Astyanax mexicanus: one gene and its partner. The protein of the gene in region 1 purifies or fractionates together with the protein of each later gene. This does not show direct contact. Links are inferred from orthologs where the notes say so. Each region holds a gene or a part of one and is shown on either strand. Other genes may lie near its edges.

Region 1 (7,915 bases):
CTCCCATCTGTTTGGAGAGAGACCAAAATACTGGAAACTGAAGGTATAATTACCATTTTATAAAAACATTTTACATCATAAAATGATAAAATCTGACAAAAACCTCAATCTTCCACTCGCAGCATAAGCAGCAATTTGATTGGCTCTTTTTGTTGAAAGGCAAGATTTTATCTGTAAACAGAGGCCATGATAATCATAACCAGAAACCTTATTCATATTGCAGTCAGTGGCTGGTCTCCTCATTAAAAACGTCTTTTATGCTGGCCAGTTCAGTGAGTGTGTCAAACAAACCCTTTTAATTTGGCTCATAGTCACTACTAGCTATAATTTATTATAATCCTTATCAGGAAGTTAAGAGGCCATAGTTTTACTGGATCATCAAAATGCACAGTGGAAATATAGAAATCTGCTGATTCTTTATGTGTAAACACAACAATGTAGACTGGATCTACTGTCAAACTGCAGACAAGCAACAATGTTCTTTTTGGAAAACAGTGACTCCATCATTGCAACCCAGCCCATTGTTGTTCAGTGTTCTCCTGATGGCGGACTCTTATCATAAACATGAGCATATGTGAGAGAGGCCTTCAGTTGCTTAGAAGTTACCCTGGGGTCCTTTGTGACCTCGCCGACTATTACACACCTTGCTCTTGGAGTGATATTTGTTGGTCGTCTACTTCTGGGGGGGTAAAAATGGTCTTGAATTTCTTCCATTTGTACACAATCTGTTTGACTGGAGTTTGGTGGAGTCCAAACTCATTTTTCAGCCCGATGAACATCAACGATTGTTTTTCTGAGGTCCTCAGAAATCTTATTTGTTCAAGCTATGATACACGTCCACAAACAACCATGTGCTGTGAAGAGCAGACTTAAATAGGTCCCTGTTATTTACATAAAACAGGCTCTGCCCATTCACACCTGATTGTCATCCAATTAATTGAAAACACCCGACTCTAATTTCGCCTTCAAACTGACTGCTAATCCTAGAGGTTCACATACTTTTGCCACTCCCAAAAAATTGTATTACTGGATTATTTTCCTCAATAAATAAATTACCAAGTATAATATGTTTGTCGCATTTGTTTAGCTGGCTTCTCTTTATGTTTTGGGGCATATTTATGCAGAAATTCTTAAAGGCTCACAAATGTTCAAGCACCACTGTCTGAGTAGTTAAACAAAGTCATACAGAGAGAGACAGAAACTTACCACATCTAACACAGCCGTCCAAACCAACACTACAGACTGTGCCAGATCTACTGGAACATTCTGTAATACACCCAATACAGATATCTAAAGAAGATAAAGCTCGATTTCACAGTTCAAACATCCAGTGCTTCAAAGAGGGCATTGTCCTGGACACGTTATGATGAAATTCTAAAGAATAGAGCTTGATAACCCTCCATTGCTGAACTCACCCCACATAATGAATACACAGTACTGGGAAACTGGGAGCAGACTAAGCTATTGAGAACATTCTTATATTTTGTCATTGATAACAACTGCATGATGCTAAACATTCTGGTGGATTGTAATAATATTGATTTATATCTAAAATGAAGGTAATGTTAAATTTTGTTCTCTTAATAAACAGAGCAAAATTTAAATCTTGCAATATAGTCTTAACGTTTTTGATGTATGATGAAAACTGTGTATGTCCGAAATGGTGACTTTATAGGCGAAGTCAAAAGTTAATGTTGAAGTTAATGAAAAATATGAGCTTTTGGGGGATTTGTGGAATGAGAAACCTCTCTGGTGGAAATGTGTAACTGCACATGCATGTGTAAGAGTTTTAATTTTTTTTATTTTAAATGTAGATTAATGTAAATTAATTGCTTTGTAAAATGCTTTATTTTGAAGTGTATCGTTTGCTTTTTTTTTGTTCATTTATGAAATGTTGTTAAAATATAGAAAATAACTGCAGCCAACAAACCTACCAGACCACTCTTTTTCAAATTAATATTTTAGATGGAAAAATATTTTAGAGGAAAGACTCGGATATCGTTAATTAGAATATTTAGACCCCTTCCGATATATAAACAGCTCTGGAAAAAATAAGAGACCATCTAAAAATTATGAGTTTCTTAGATTTTACCGAATTGAAAACCTCTGGAATATAATCAATATTTTTGAACCAGGAGTGGCATAAAGTTACCCAAACGTAGTGTGTAAGACTGGTGGAGGAGAACATACCAAGATGCATTAAAACTGTTAATTTGGTTATTCCACCAAATATTGATTTCTAAACTCCTAAAATTTGATGTATTTGAACTTGTTTTCTTTGCATTATTTGAGGCCTGAAAGCTGCATCTTTTTTGTTATTTCAGCCATTTCTCATTCATTTTCTGCAAATAAATGCTCTAAATGACAATATTTGTATTTGAAATTTGAGAGAAATTTTGTCTGTAGTTTATAGAATAAAACAACAACTTTCATTTTATCAAACATATACCTATAAATAGCAAAATCAGAGAAACTGAGTCACAAACTGAAGTGGTCTCTTCATTTTTTCCAAAGCTTGCCTCTGGGCTGAATCTAAATATTGAGATCATAAAGAAACATCCTTGATCCACCCAGTGGATAACACACAGCAAAGCATACAGATAAGCTGACTGGCTCTTTGTTTGTTTTACCTTGGGTATCTTATATAACCTTTGTATCTATTTTTGGTCATAAAGTCATAATTCACATCCTATATTGAGTTATAAACTTGGATTAGAGGCTTCAGCATTAAAATAAATTATAAAACTTGTAGATGTGGCCTAGCGTCCCAGCTAACCAAAAATGTTATACGATCTTTCAGCAAGGTTTTGAAAAGGTTCTAGAAAGGTTAGCTTGAAACGTTGCAGAAATTATGTTCCAGAAATGTTAATAAAGGATATAATAATAGTTTGTTATACAATGTTATTAGAATATTTCATAAATAACATTTCCAGTTAGCCCTGTGCTGGAAAAGAGAACCTCTTGAAGATGAAAAAGTTCTAAATACGACCAAAGCGGGTTCCACTATTTTTACGAGCTGCTTTACATAAGAGCCCAGATGATGTGAGTGTGATTGACACCTCTAGTCAAATTCTCCTATGTGGGTCAGAGGATTCAGAGGAAGCCAGGGCTTATTTACATAGAGTATAAGCTGCTGGGCCCAACCAATAGGCCCTAAAACATAACCATAACATAACTACCAGTAAAAAGTTTTGGAACATCCCTTTTTTGAGTAGTCCAGTAGTGCTGTATGGCCCAGAGAAGCTGCTATTATATTTTCTTATCTTATCAATAACTTTATTTCTGCACTTCACCTGTCAGACGTCTAATTCTTCTTTTCACTGCTGAAACTGAGATTAATGTTAAGCTGAGCAAAAGACGTTGCCATGTGGGTCAGGCAGACCACTTCCTGTACCACTTTTCTGTCTCCAGTTTTCAGGGCTTTTTTGAAGGTGTAGGAAACATGACTCACTGTTTTTTGGCTTCATCTATAATTTATCTAAAGAACAGACTTATACTTTTAATAGTTACAGAATTATATATGTTTCTGTGTCTTTTTCTAGTTATTATGATAAAGATGTGAATGTGCTGTGTGTAAGTGTGTAAATGCTGCAGTAGAGAGTGCAGTAACACAATCTCTCCCAATACTGCTTTACTACAGACAAAGGCTTTTTACATTTATTTTATTTTTTATCCATTTTCAAAGTTTAGTTTATTTACTTTGCTACTTACCTGCTGCTGTTTGCTAATTTGTTTGCTAGAAATCACCACCACTTTTTTCTGTTAGTTTATTTGTTTTCTGCCAGTTTACTGCACAATTTTAAACAGTGGATTTTGTACCATTTCCAGGTTATTGACTGAACCTTAAAATTTGTTGTGAAGAATATGAAATGTATACCACATACATAGTATGCAAATACTTGCAGTTAAAGATTACATCATAGATTATAATATTATTTAATTGTAACTGGAAACATGCATGAAATAAAAAAATCTGGCTCTTTTTTTCAATAACTATTGTATATTTCAACCATTACTTTCTTTTAGGAGTAATCAATAAATTTGTACATTGTTTTACTTTATGCTTTTTTTTTTATAAATTAATAAATATAAGTCTAAACAGAGCTTATATTTTTTTCAAATGAAAAAAAAGAAAGAAAAACTGATTTATCCCAAAAGTTAAAAATATTTGATATATGGTTATCTGTGGCAAGGGCTCAATTAAGCTTAGCCTTGAACTAATCTGTAAGGTCACACCTAAAGGGGGGAAGTGCAAGTGTAACTGTAAATTAAGGGAATAAATCTGGAACCTGTTATATTTATAAAATTATAAACCTTATTATAAAATTATTAAACCTTTATGACATAATCTACTTTAACTAAACAAGCTGATATGATCTTATTTTTTTGTTTGTTTTAGTAATAACAACAAATTATAAAATTCTGCAGGAAATAAAGTAAATAAAATATTAATAAATAATATTAAAAATCTTAATAAATATTAATAAAAATAAAAATGTAAATAAAAATGATTTTCAGTATTTTAATAACATATATAATGTAGATAATATAGAAGTAATGTATTGGTATACTCTACATTATATTTATTTGGTGATGTTTCACTACTAATTGGATAAGAGTAATAATTATCCCATAGACCGTTAACTAATAATTACGTTTTTCTGGAATAATTTTATTGAACTATAGTAATTCACAGTCTCATTTCTAAATAATATCTTATCACTTAATCTTAGTATTTTGGTTGTTTATCAATTTACATTAATATAAATAATGTTCGCTTGTATTGAGGCAGTATTTGAGTAATGCAGCAGCGCCCCCCTGCGGTCACGGCCGCGTGGCGCAGCTGCACCGGAGCCCAGGTGAGCGCCTTTATCTCCTGTCAATGTGTTACCTGGCGTTACACGGCGTGACGTCAGCGCTCTACATGAGGAAAAAGGAACCGAGGAGTCCATGATCAGCCCGAGAGCTAAATTAACCCAGTTCATGGACTCGTTCTGGGCTTTGTCTCGTTATTAAACCGGCTGTTCACACTGTGTTTGGTGAGAGGCGCTTTAATCCGGATTGGACTTTGGGTCATGTCCGCTTCTGCAGTGTTCGTGTTGGACCTTAAAGGCAAGGTGAGGCCAGTAAACGGATAAAACTGGACTGACTGACTACCAATCAGGACAGGCCTAGGTAGTTCGTGTGTACGTGTATACGTGGAGTGTGTGTGTTTGTGTTTTAGCTTTTTACACTGAGTTTAAACCCAATGTAGTCTAGAACTGACGGTTCAGTCCTGAAACTCCTGAACCCTGACTGTGACCTAACCTTCATTCAGAAGCCTGGCTGTTTACTGTTTATATTAGCGAGCTGCTGATACATGTCTGACCTGTGACACGGCCTAACTACTGTTTACTACAGTTTAGATCAGGAAGATATGAATAAAAATCTTGATATTTTGCAAACGCAGCATGGGCATGTCAGATTTTACATAGACATGTTTAGCTAAGACACATTCATTTCTGTTGATATGAATATAGCACAAAAGGGATTCAACATCATTATGAGTCAAATAACCCTATTACACCATATGTATTCTTTTATTTTTTTATATATATTGTTAAAACTCATATCTACACTGTCTAGCCAAAAAAACAGTCGCCACCTGGATTTAACTAAGTAAATGATGTGGGGTTAATACTGCAGTTGGTCAGGTTTGGGTTCAGCAACAGTATGTGCTGAAAGAATGAGGTCAACTGACTACCTGAATATACTGAATATAGACCAGGTTATTCCATCAGTGGATTTTTTCTTTCCTGATGGCACGGACATATTCCAAGATGACAATGTCAGGATTCATGGGGCTGGAAGTGTAAAAAGTGATTCAGGGAGCATGAGATCATCATTTTCACACATGGATTGTTCACCACAGAGTCCAGACCTTAACCTCATTGAGAATCTTTGGGATGTGCTGGAGAAGGCTTTGTGCAGCGGTCAGACTCTACCATCATCAATGCTGCTGCAACATCTTGGTGAAAAATGAATGCAACACTGGATTGAAATTGCAGAAGCTTATTGAAACAATGTCACAGTGAATGCATGTGCAAAAATCTTTAAAGAAGTATATTTGGCTGAATATTTTCTTACATTTTTTTCATTTGTAACATTATGCAGATCTATTTTATTAGGGCCACCATGATAACGAAGTGATGATGTAAATAATCAGTTTATCAGGTTATCTAAATTTAAAAATGGTCTAAAAAAGGTTCCCAAATAGTGGTGTGATATGTCGTTTTTCGCCCAAATTTAAATTCATGCCATAGAGGGTTAAAACCAATGCCATTTGATAGGCATTTAAAGTGCACAGCCAGTTCATTAAAAATTATTGTTTATACACACAGAACTGTGAGGTATTTCTTTGGGCACTGCATCCTAAAACTAAGTCAGGAAAAGGTGACTGATGAATGAATAGATTGGATTTGGGAACAGAACAGGGGAGCAAAATTAATTTTAGAAATGCATGAATATTTTTTTTATAATGAATGCATTTCCACCTAATTACTTTTACAATCTGTTATTTTATCCTACCTATATGTTTGTGCTTATTACTAGACTCATTGTGACTTTTAATTTTAAGACGGTGGCACCCTGAAGGTACTGTGTGTATGAACAGTGTTTTGTTTTTATAACACTATCTGTGCACTTTTACATTTCTTAGTGCCTTGATTTTAAATGCCAGGGCCCTTGGAATTTTACCAATGAAGTGTGGAGCTACTTTAAGCTTTTTAATGTTGTAAAAAAAAATAGTGATGTTTTTGCATGGGCAAGGCCATACCCCTATCACTAGCATTCTAAGCTTGTTGTCACCATCGGCTAAAAGCTCTGTTTTTTGGAATGCTGGGAGTAAATGGAGGTGTTTTTTTTAAACAAACATTTGTTCATGACACGTTATCAAGTTTTACTACAACTCAAGTCCATTTCACACTGGATTACTCCTTTAAATTTTGTTGTCATCTCATTAAATATTTATTGTAATATTATGTCATTTATTTTAGTATAAGCATTTCTATTTGGTTTATCAGTAATATCCCCCATCTATAGGAGAACAATCAGTTTTTAAAAGTATTTCTGTTTAAAGCAGAAAAAAGGGTAGGCATAACTATTTAAGGCACTTTTAAAGGAGAATTTTGATAGCTAGATGATTGAGGCCTGTGTCAGAACATCTCCAAAATATCAGGCAGGTCATTAGGTGGAATGCTTCTGATATGCAGTAGTCAGTACCTTCCCAATATTTCTCAAGGAAAAGAAAACCTGTGAACTGACAACAGGTGAGGGAAATGTGAGAAATGAAGAGCCGTTTGGTCTAGTCTCATGGAAGAGCTCATATTTCATAGGCCCCCCCTTATGCCGCCACAACAGCTCTGACCCTTTGAGGCATGATGTCCACAAGACCTCTGATGGTTTCCTGTGAGGAAACAGGCATCAACACAGTAGGAACAGATCCTTAGTCCTGTAAGTTGTGAGGTGGAACCTCCATGAGCATCAGTGACTAAACACTTGCTGCTTAATATATTATATTAAAGTGCTAACCTTGATAGGAGCCACTGGAACCACATAATCCATGTTATTCTCATTGATTCATCAGTAGTTTTAATGTTATGGCTGAACTTTTTTTCTGTATCTGGTCAAACTATTTTTAAACCTCCATCCCTTTCCCTTTTCTTCCTTCTCACACTACAGGTGTTGATATGTCGCAACTACAAAGGCGATGTGGACATGGCCGAAATAGACCACTTCCTTCCCCTGCTGATGCAACAGGAAGAGGAGGGGCTCATGTGCCCTGTTATTTCACATGGCAGCGTCCACTTCATGTGGATCAAGCACAGCAACCTGTACTGTATCCTTAATTTTGCCCAGTTTATCATATCAAATTTAT
Region 2 (7,905 bases), on another chromosome or scaffold:
TGCTGGATGGCGTCATCATACACTGCCACGAGGTTAGGCGCAGGCCGCAGCACCGCCCTCCAGCGCCTGTTAGTCCTCCGCCGAACTGACACGTAGCACCAGCAGCGCTGAACTCATTACTTATCGTTAATAGGTTAGATCTTAAAACACGTACAAATAATAAAACTGTGCAACAGCTCAACCCTGCAGATAATTTACCCGGTTTAAACGTGATTTACGGTGATAAATCACTGGAGTTCTATATTATAAACAGACAGGTGGATAACTGTAGCTTCCTGGTCTGTCACTTTATTATAGTGACATAATAACAGACACAAAATACACTAAATACTCTATATACTGCACGAGTTTAAGGTATAAACTGGTGTATAGTTGACGTGAATAATATATTTTCTCTGTTTGTATATGTGGAATAAATAAATAAATTAATGAAAAAAAGAAACTATTTATTTTATCTGTTATGTAATTTTATTTAGTTCCTTAGATTAGTCCAATAATAATAATAATAATAATCATAAAAACAGCTATATATTTTTTTCTCCTACATAGTAAATGAATACTGAAGTCATCCAGTACTATGAAGGAACACATAAGGAATCATGTAGTAACTTAATAGTGTTTAACAAACCCTTACTCTCATCTGGGGAGCTATTAACTTGCTGGTTGGTTTCTGAGGTTGGTAACTGTAATGAAATGATCCTGTAGAACAGAAGAAACTCTTGTTCTTCCTTTCCTGAGGTGGTCCTGATGAGAGCCAGTTTCATCATGTTGAACCGACAATTTTTTTTTTTTTTTGCGACTGCACTTCGGGATTCTTTCAAAGTTCTTGAAATGTTTTGGATTGACTGACCTTCATTTCTTAAATAATTTTTTTGTTTATTTAGCTGAGTAGTTCTTGCTTCTCATAATCTGGATTCGAACATTACTCAATATTCACTATTCACTGTATACCTGTAACTCTACCTCTTCACTACTTTACTTTAACTGATGCTCTCAAACACTTTATTAAGAGACAAGAAATTCAAGTAATTAACTCTTGACGAGTTCAGCACAGCTGTTAACTGAAAGCCATTGTGTGATGCAAAATGTGGAAAGCTGTCATCTAAGCAAGAGGTGCTACTTTGAAAAATCTTTTTGAAAAAAATCATATTTTTAATGACTTAATATTAATAATATTAATCTTCAATTTATTTTGCCACTGAATGTAAGGTGTTTCCAAACATTTGACTGATAATGTATAATATACTGTATATTATATTATCTACTTATTTCCTATTTAATATCTATATATTGCTGTTATTGAAAGATTGGTTGATTCCTTCTATATATTGTATTATAAAAATCAGAGTATAGAGTTGATTATTTAGAGAGATGAATTCAGAAAAAATTAAATAAATATAATAAAAATTCTCTGTAATATTTAATCTGTGCAGTTCTGTGTTGATTAAATATTGTGATGTGAGCAATATTTGTACGTTTTCTTTTGGAAGCTGTGGTGAAAACTATAATTCTAAAGTTTCTCTTACATGCATTATAATGCATTCTAAGTAAAGACACAAAACATACGCAATTATCTGTGAATTTGTTTGTTCTTGCCAGAAATGTCATATTAATAACGAAGAATTAGCTAAAGTAGAATATGTTAAAAGTCTGAGAATTGTTTTAAACTGAAAGAGTCTGTAATTTCTAAAAGGTTATGGTGATTTTTCTTTGGCAAGCGGTTTTGCTGTTTATTATTTATTCACCATAAATGTACAGCATGTATCATATCAGTAGCCATGAATGATTAGTCATAAATATTAGTCATGCTTTATTTGTTTAAATCCAAGTGCAATTAGCAGAATTCATTACAAGAAACTAAAGTAAAGCTCAGCTCACTGGTGCCACTTAATCATTTAAGGTTGACTTTTTGTCATGCTTGGTCTTGCTGGTAAACCAGATTTGGTGAAGTTTGATTATACTGGTTATTTAGCTTGGTCAGGTTGATTATGGTAAAAATTTAACCCAGTTTAACCAGTTTGAGCTTCAGTAAGGATGTTCCTGCAGTCATGTAAGTGCTGTTTAATGTTGTTAATTGTATTGTTTCTATCCTATGTATGTACATTTATTTAAGAATATTAGAAATATTATTATTATAAATAACATTGTTCAAATGACTGTTCTTTTCTATTTATTAATAATTATTTATTATTATAGACTACCGGTCAAAAGTTTTAGAACACCCCCAATTATTTTCCCTGGAAATGGTACAACATCTAGTGTACAAAATATTAGTATATTGTAAAGGTGTATTGTAAAAAAAAAAAAAAAAACCTGAAAAATCTAATTTAAAAAAGAGGGGTGAGCTTTAGCGAACAGTTAATTGGTAAACAGCTTACAGCTGGCCCGAATCAATGCAAATAAAATTAGCTTTGAAAATTGATTTTAAAAAATGTTCATTTCCAAAGCTATTAGTGTATTAAATATACACCATTTTTTTAATTCTAAATTCTGGGCATTTAATGTATAAACATAGACTATTTTTATATAATTCTTTTTATTTATTCACAATAATTAATGCTATACATACTGCAAAAAATATAAATCTAAATTAATAACATTTCTTACTCTGATATTATTAAAGTAACATTGCAGTAATTAATAACTTATTTTTAATTTCCTTGTACTTGTTTTAAGTAGAGATGCACAGATGTTTCTGATGTTTCGAATTTCGGGGGCCGATGCTTATATACGATATTATACATTTATGTATCTGCCGATGCAGATACAATACAATTAAGGGTTTCTCCTGAGAATTTTGTTTTCACATTTTTTGGTTTCAGATTTACTTAGCCATTTTTTTCTTAAATACACTGTTAACAGCTTTAAACCCTAATTTTTAATTATTAAATTAAATAAAGCAGTATATGTACTGAAACTAATTAAAAAAAATTAAACACTACCTAAAATAAATGGATTTAAAAGTAGCACAGCCCATTGTAGTAGAATGACCAGCGTCGCTTAATCCTTTTAAAGTTTATGATAAGTACTTAAGGAAAATAGTTTAGAAATGCAATAACTTTTGATTATTCTAAAATGCAAATATCCAAATTATGAAGAAAAACATATTAAATTATTTAGTAAACAAAAATGTATTAAACAAACCAGAATATGTTTTAAATTTTAGATTTGTTAATGTAGCTCTTCTTGATTAGATAACAACTTCACACATCTCTGCTGGATTTTTTCAGTCAGCTTTATGAGGTAGATTCACCTGGATTTCAGGCTTTCAGTTAACAGCTGTGCTGAACTCATCAAGAGTTAATTACTTGAATTTCTTGTCTCTTAATGTGTTTGAGAGCATCAGTTGTAAATAGTGAAGACTAAAGACTACTCAACTAAATAAAGAAAAAAATGACTTTAAGAAGAAATGAAGGTCAGTCAATTCAAAACATTTCAAGGACTTTGAAAGAATCCTCAAGTGCAGTCGCAAAAAAACATTATGATGGAACTGATACTCATCAGGACCGCCCCAGGAAAGGAAAAGCAAGAGTTCCCTCTGTTGTACAGGATGCGTTAATCAGAGTTACCATCCTCAGAAACCACAAGTTAACAGCTCCCCAGATAAGAGCACCTAAATGCTTTTTCACAGGTTTGTTTAACACTTTTAAATTACTACATGATTCCTTATGTTTTCCTTCATAGTTTGAATCACTTCAATATTCATTTACAATGTAGAGAAAGGAAAGAAAAATAACAACATTGTGAGAAGATGTGACAATGAGACAATGAGAACAATGAGAAGATGTGTCCAAACGACTGGCAATGTATGTCTTTTTTTTCTAAAATTCTGACAACCATGCAAAATGAGAAATTTCACATATTGTTCTTAAAAAAGCAATCAATTATACTGATATACTGAATATTCCAAGATCATCGTGCATCTATAGTTTTAAGTGATTTAATGTGCTAAAACGGTCTTATTGTACTGGCAAATAATATTGCTTACTCCAGGAAATAACTGATAATATTTTACTTTTAGTCAAGACATAATGATGAAACAGACACAACAATCTGCCATAGAATAAGACACTTTCAGTAGTTTAAATTATTCAGTAGATTAAATTACTTAAAATGTTATATATATATATATATATATATAACTACTTAAAATAATATATAAATTACTTAAAATCTTTTATATATATATATATATATATATATATATATATATAACATTTTAAGTAATTTAATCTACTGAATAATTTAAACTACTGAAAGTGTCTTATTCTATGGCAGATTGTTGTGTCTGTTTCATCATTATGTCTTGACTAAAAGTAAAATATTATCAGTTATTTCCTGGAGTAAGCAATATTATTTGCCAGTACAATAAGACCGTTTTAGCACATTAAATCACTTAAAACTATAGATGCACGATTATCTTGAAATATTCAGTATATCAGTATAATTGATTGCTTTTTTTTAATAATTGTATAATTATTAAATAATTATACATAATTGTATAATTAATCGTTTTTTTTGTTTAAAATATTCACTTTTGCATGGGTATATATATATATATATATATATATATATATATATATATATATATATATATATATATAACCATGCAAAAGTGAATATTTTAAACTTGAATTTAGAGGAATTTACTAATTCTATAATTGTACACAATATCTTATATCAAATTAAATTAATTTAAAATATATTTAATACTGAAATATGATACAATAACATTTTATAACTATTATTATTGGTAGAATAAATAATAAAATACATGTAATATATTTGTAATTATCTATGTATCTGTGTGTATAATATATGTGTGCTGTCCTTCCTGCCTGCGCGTGCATGTGTGCATGCGCGCGCGCGCTGCTTCCACCTTGAAGTTCGGTGGGAGACGATTCCGCGCTGTATCCTTCCGCCTGCAGTAGAAGTGCTGAGGCTAGGGCCGCCGCCATTTTGAATGTCTGGTCCGTTCCTCCCTCCGTCGCAAACAGAGACGATTCCAGCGCTTTCCTGGTGTCAGTACGGCTGGTGAGTACGGTGTCTTTCGGAACCACAGCGATAAAAGACCCGTTAGGACGGTAATGGAGCTCGCGGCTTCCCGGGCCGCCTCGAAACGGCGCTATTTTAACACTGTCCGCGGCTGTAAAGGCTGAGTAAGGGGGCTCGGGAAGTAGAGCAGCTAAGGCGAGTAACGTTTATTACAGGTTTAAAAAACTCAAGAACGGCGTTTAGCGAGTCACAAACTTAACGGCACGAGTCGGAGAAGGTTGAGTAGGCGAGGGTGCAGTTTTGTACACTTTAAAACGCGTGCTTAGTGAGATAAATCGGTGAAAATAGCGAGCAATGAGTGGCCGTGGCTAATCCAGATCCGTGGATTGAAAATCCAGTTCCGGCGTTTCGTTCTAACTGCGTAAACGGATATGCTGCAGTTCAGCTGCAGCCGACCCGTCGATGTAGTTAGAACGAAATTCCGGCGCGGAGTGTCACTTCACGGACTGGATTTGCTAGGAAAGCCTCTGATTGGGCATCAGGCGTGTCCATACTGACAAACCTAGCTTGTGCTTAGCTTGCTACGTATATTTAAACCTTTTAAACATGCATATATAAATAAATTCGTGTAAAATTAGCTTTAAAACTTGCAGCTTTCTTCATAATAAAAGGCAGCTGCCATCCGGGTAATGTAACGTTAGCTAGATAGCCTGCCTAGGTAGTTAGGTTGCTCGGTTAGTTAGCTGGCTAATTCGTATCCAGTCTTTAGCTATGGTCCCTTGAGGCCTTGCTAGGTAGCTATCTAGGTTAGCTAGCTTGCTATTAAGCACACTTCTCTCTGACAAGAACTAGAAACAAGGAGGAAACGTCAAGTTGAGAAAAGAAGGGCAATAAATGAATTAATCCGTTTTTAAACTGCAGTAAGTTGAAGAAGGTAGCGTTAGGTTAGCTAGCCTAGTTTACTACTAGGTAGCTGACTGCCTAGGCTGCCTAAGTAGTCTTTTTAGTGAACAGTCGAGCTAGGGAACTAGTTAGCTAACTACTGAGCTTGCCTAAGCTGAGGCCTTGTAGCTTACCAGGTAACATAAAGCAAAAAAAAAAAAAAAAAAAAGTTTTTTAGCATTAAAAGAGCAATGAAACACTTCACTCTGACAAGAACTTGGGAACTATGAGCTAGGAGGAAACGTCAAGTTGAGGAAAAGGTCAAGAAAATGTTTTAACCGCTAAATTAATCCGTTTTTGAGATGTAACTTAGTTAGCTGAAGTATCTAAGTTAGCCAACGCATATAACCAGCTAGTTATCTGGCTAATACCATGACACAGAAATATCATGATATTAAAAATTCATATCGTGATAATTGGGCTGTTCTGTCTTAAAAGTAGTCTATTATTTACTCCAAAGCTTTAAGTGTGTTTATTGTATAATTGTTTTAGTTTGCAGTTCATATGCATGCACTAAATTTTCTGCTGTATTATTTGCGGCATTATATTATCTAATGCTATATTATTTATTTTGCCACATTATGATTATACTATTATACTATATTCCTGAAATTAATGAATTATTTTAGTTTTTCTATATCACCAAGTATATTGTTATTGCCAAACAGTCCCTGAAATATCGTGATATTATTTTAGAGCCATATCGCCCACCCCCACTGCCTAACTTGCCTTTTTAAAGCTTAAGCTGTTGGAATGAGTGGACAACGTAGCTTGGAGGCTATCTAGCCTTTGGAGGCCCAATTGTGCACCTTTTTAAAGTAATTTAAAGTGACGGAACAGGTTTTGAGCATTAAAATAGCAATGTTATAAGTGTTTACTCACATTGAAGATCTTTGTCATGTAGTTTTCACAAAAAAGAAAGGGTTCAAACATGCAGATTTCTCCTTTTTAAGAGATCTTTCATCTGAGGTAACAACGACATTAGTTAACGTTATCTAACCTAGTTAGGTTTCTCCCTTTATGTCTTGCTAGTAAGTTATGTTTAGATATCTGTAAGTCAAGCACACTTCACTCTAAGAAGAACTAGAAACTAGGGAACTAGGAGGAAAAGTTGAGGAAAGAAGCTCAAATGTATTAACTACCTAATTAATTTTGTTTAAACTGTAGTTAGCTAAAAGAGTTAGCTAAACTGGCCAGTTAACTAGCTAGTTACCTACCTGTCTAACTATCTAGGTTGCCTTACAAGTTTGTCTTCTTTCTTTGTTATTTAATGTTTTATTGGTTTCAAAGTCATTGCAATTTACAGGAAATTAGCACATCAATCTCAAGAAACAAATTAAAATCTTTTTTTTACAGTGTTAACTTAATATTTAAGACTATATTAAAGTTTTACAGGGACACATGCAGAATTATGTGTGGAAAAACCTAGCTCGTGATTAGGTTAATTTATCGATTAACCTAGCTAACTAACCAGTTGTAAACAAACCTAGCTTGTGCTGAGCTTGATACTTGATAAACCTTTTTATGTAAGTATATATGTATATAAATGTGAATCAAGGTTTCAGACTTGCAGCTTTCTTCATTATTAAGCAGGATTCAGGTTGATTGAACTGTATCTAATCCCTTTCTGTATCCTATCCTTGGCTATGCTCCTTTGATGCATTGCTTGCTAGTTAGTTATTTATCTTTAACTCAAGCACACTTCACTGTGACTGAAAAAGTAGGAAACTTAAGAACTAGGAGAAAATGTCAAATCGAGGAAAGAAGGTCAATCAATTGTATTACCGCTAAATTAATCGGTATATAGCTCACCTATTTAACTAGCTAGTTACCTACCTATCTATCTAGGCTGCCTAGCTAGTTTCTTTAAAGAGGTGGGAATGAGTGAGCTGCCTAGCTAGGGAGCTAGCTAGCAAACTAGTGAGCTAGTCTAAGGCTAAGCTAAGGCCTGCTAGCGAGCTAGTATAG

What was found. Proteins that work in one complex are often made in the same cells at the same time.
Region 2: the proteins of ap1m2 (region 1) and ap1g1 purify together in Homo sapiens (affinity purification with mass spectrometry; 4 studies listed by BioGRID and IntAct, counting the BioPlex papers as one, with this or other methods). This does not show direct contact. The link is inferred for Astyanax mexicanus from reciprocal best matches to the Homo sapiens genes AP1M2 and AP1G1.

The regions. Positions count from the first base shown.
Region 1 is NC_064412.1:31,905,119-31,913,033, reverse strand, and holds the start of ap1m2 (AP-1 complex subunit mu-2), read left to right. Parts: upstream 1-4,906; 5' UTR 4,907-5,075; coding exon 5,076-5,117; intron 5,118-7,719; coding exon 7,720-7,876; intron 7,877-7,915. UniProt on the Homo sapiens protein: Subunit of clathrin-associated adaptor protein complex 1 that plays a role in protein sorting in the trans-Golgi network (TGN) and endosomes.
Region 2 is NC_064423.1:38,501,206-38,509,110, reverse strand, and holds the start of ap1g1 (AP-1 complex subunit gamma-1), read left to right. Parts: upstream 1-4,895; 5' UTR 4,896-5,034; intron 5,035-7,905. UniProt on the Homo sapiens protein: Subunit of clathrin-associated adaptor protein complex 1 that plays a role in protein sorting in the late-Golgi/trans-Golgi network (TGN) and/or endosomes.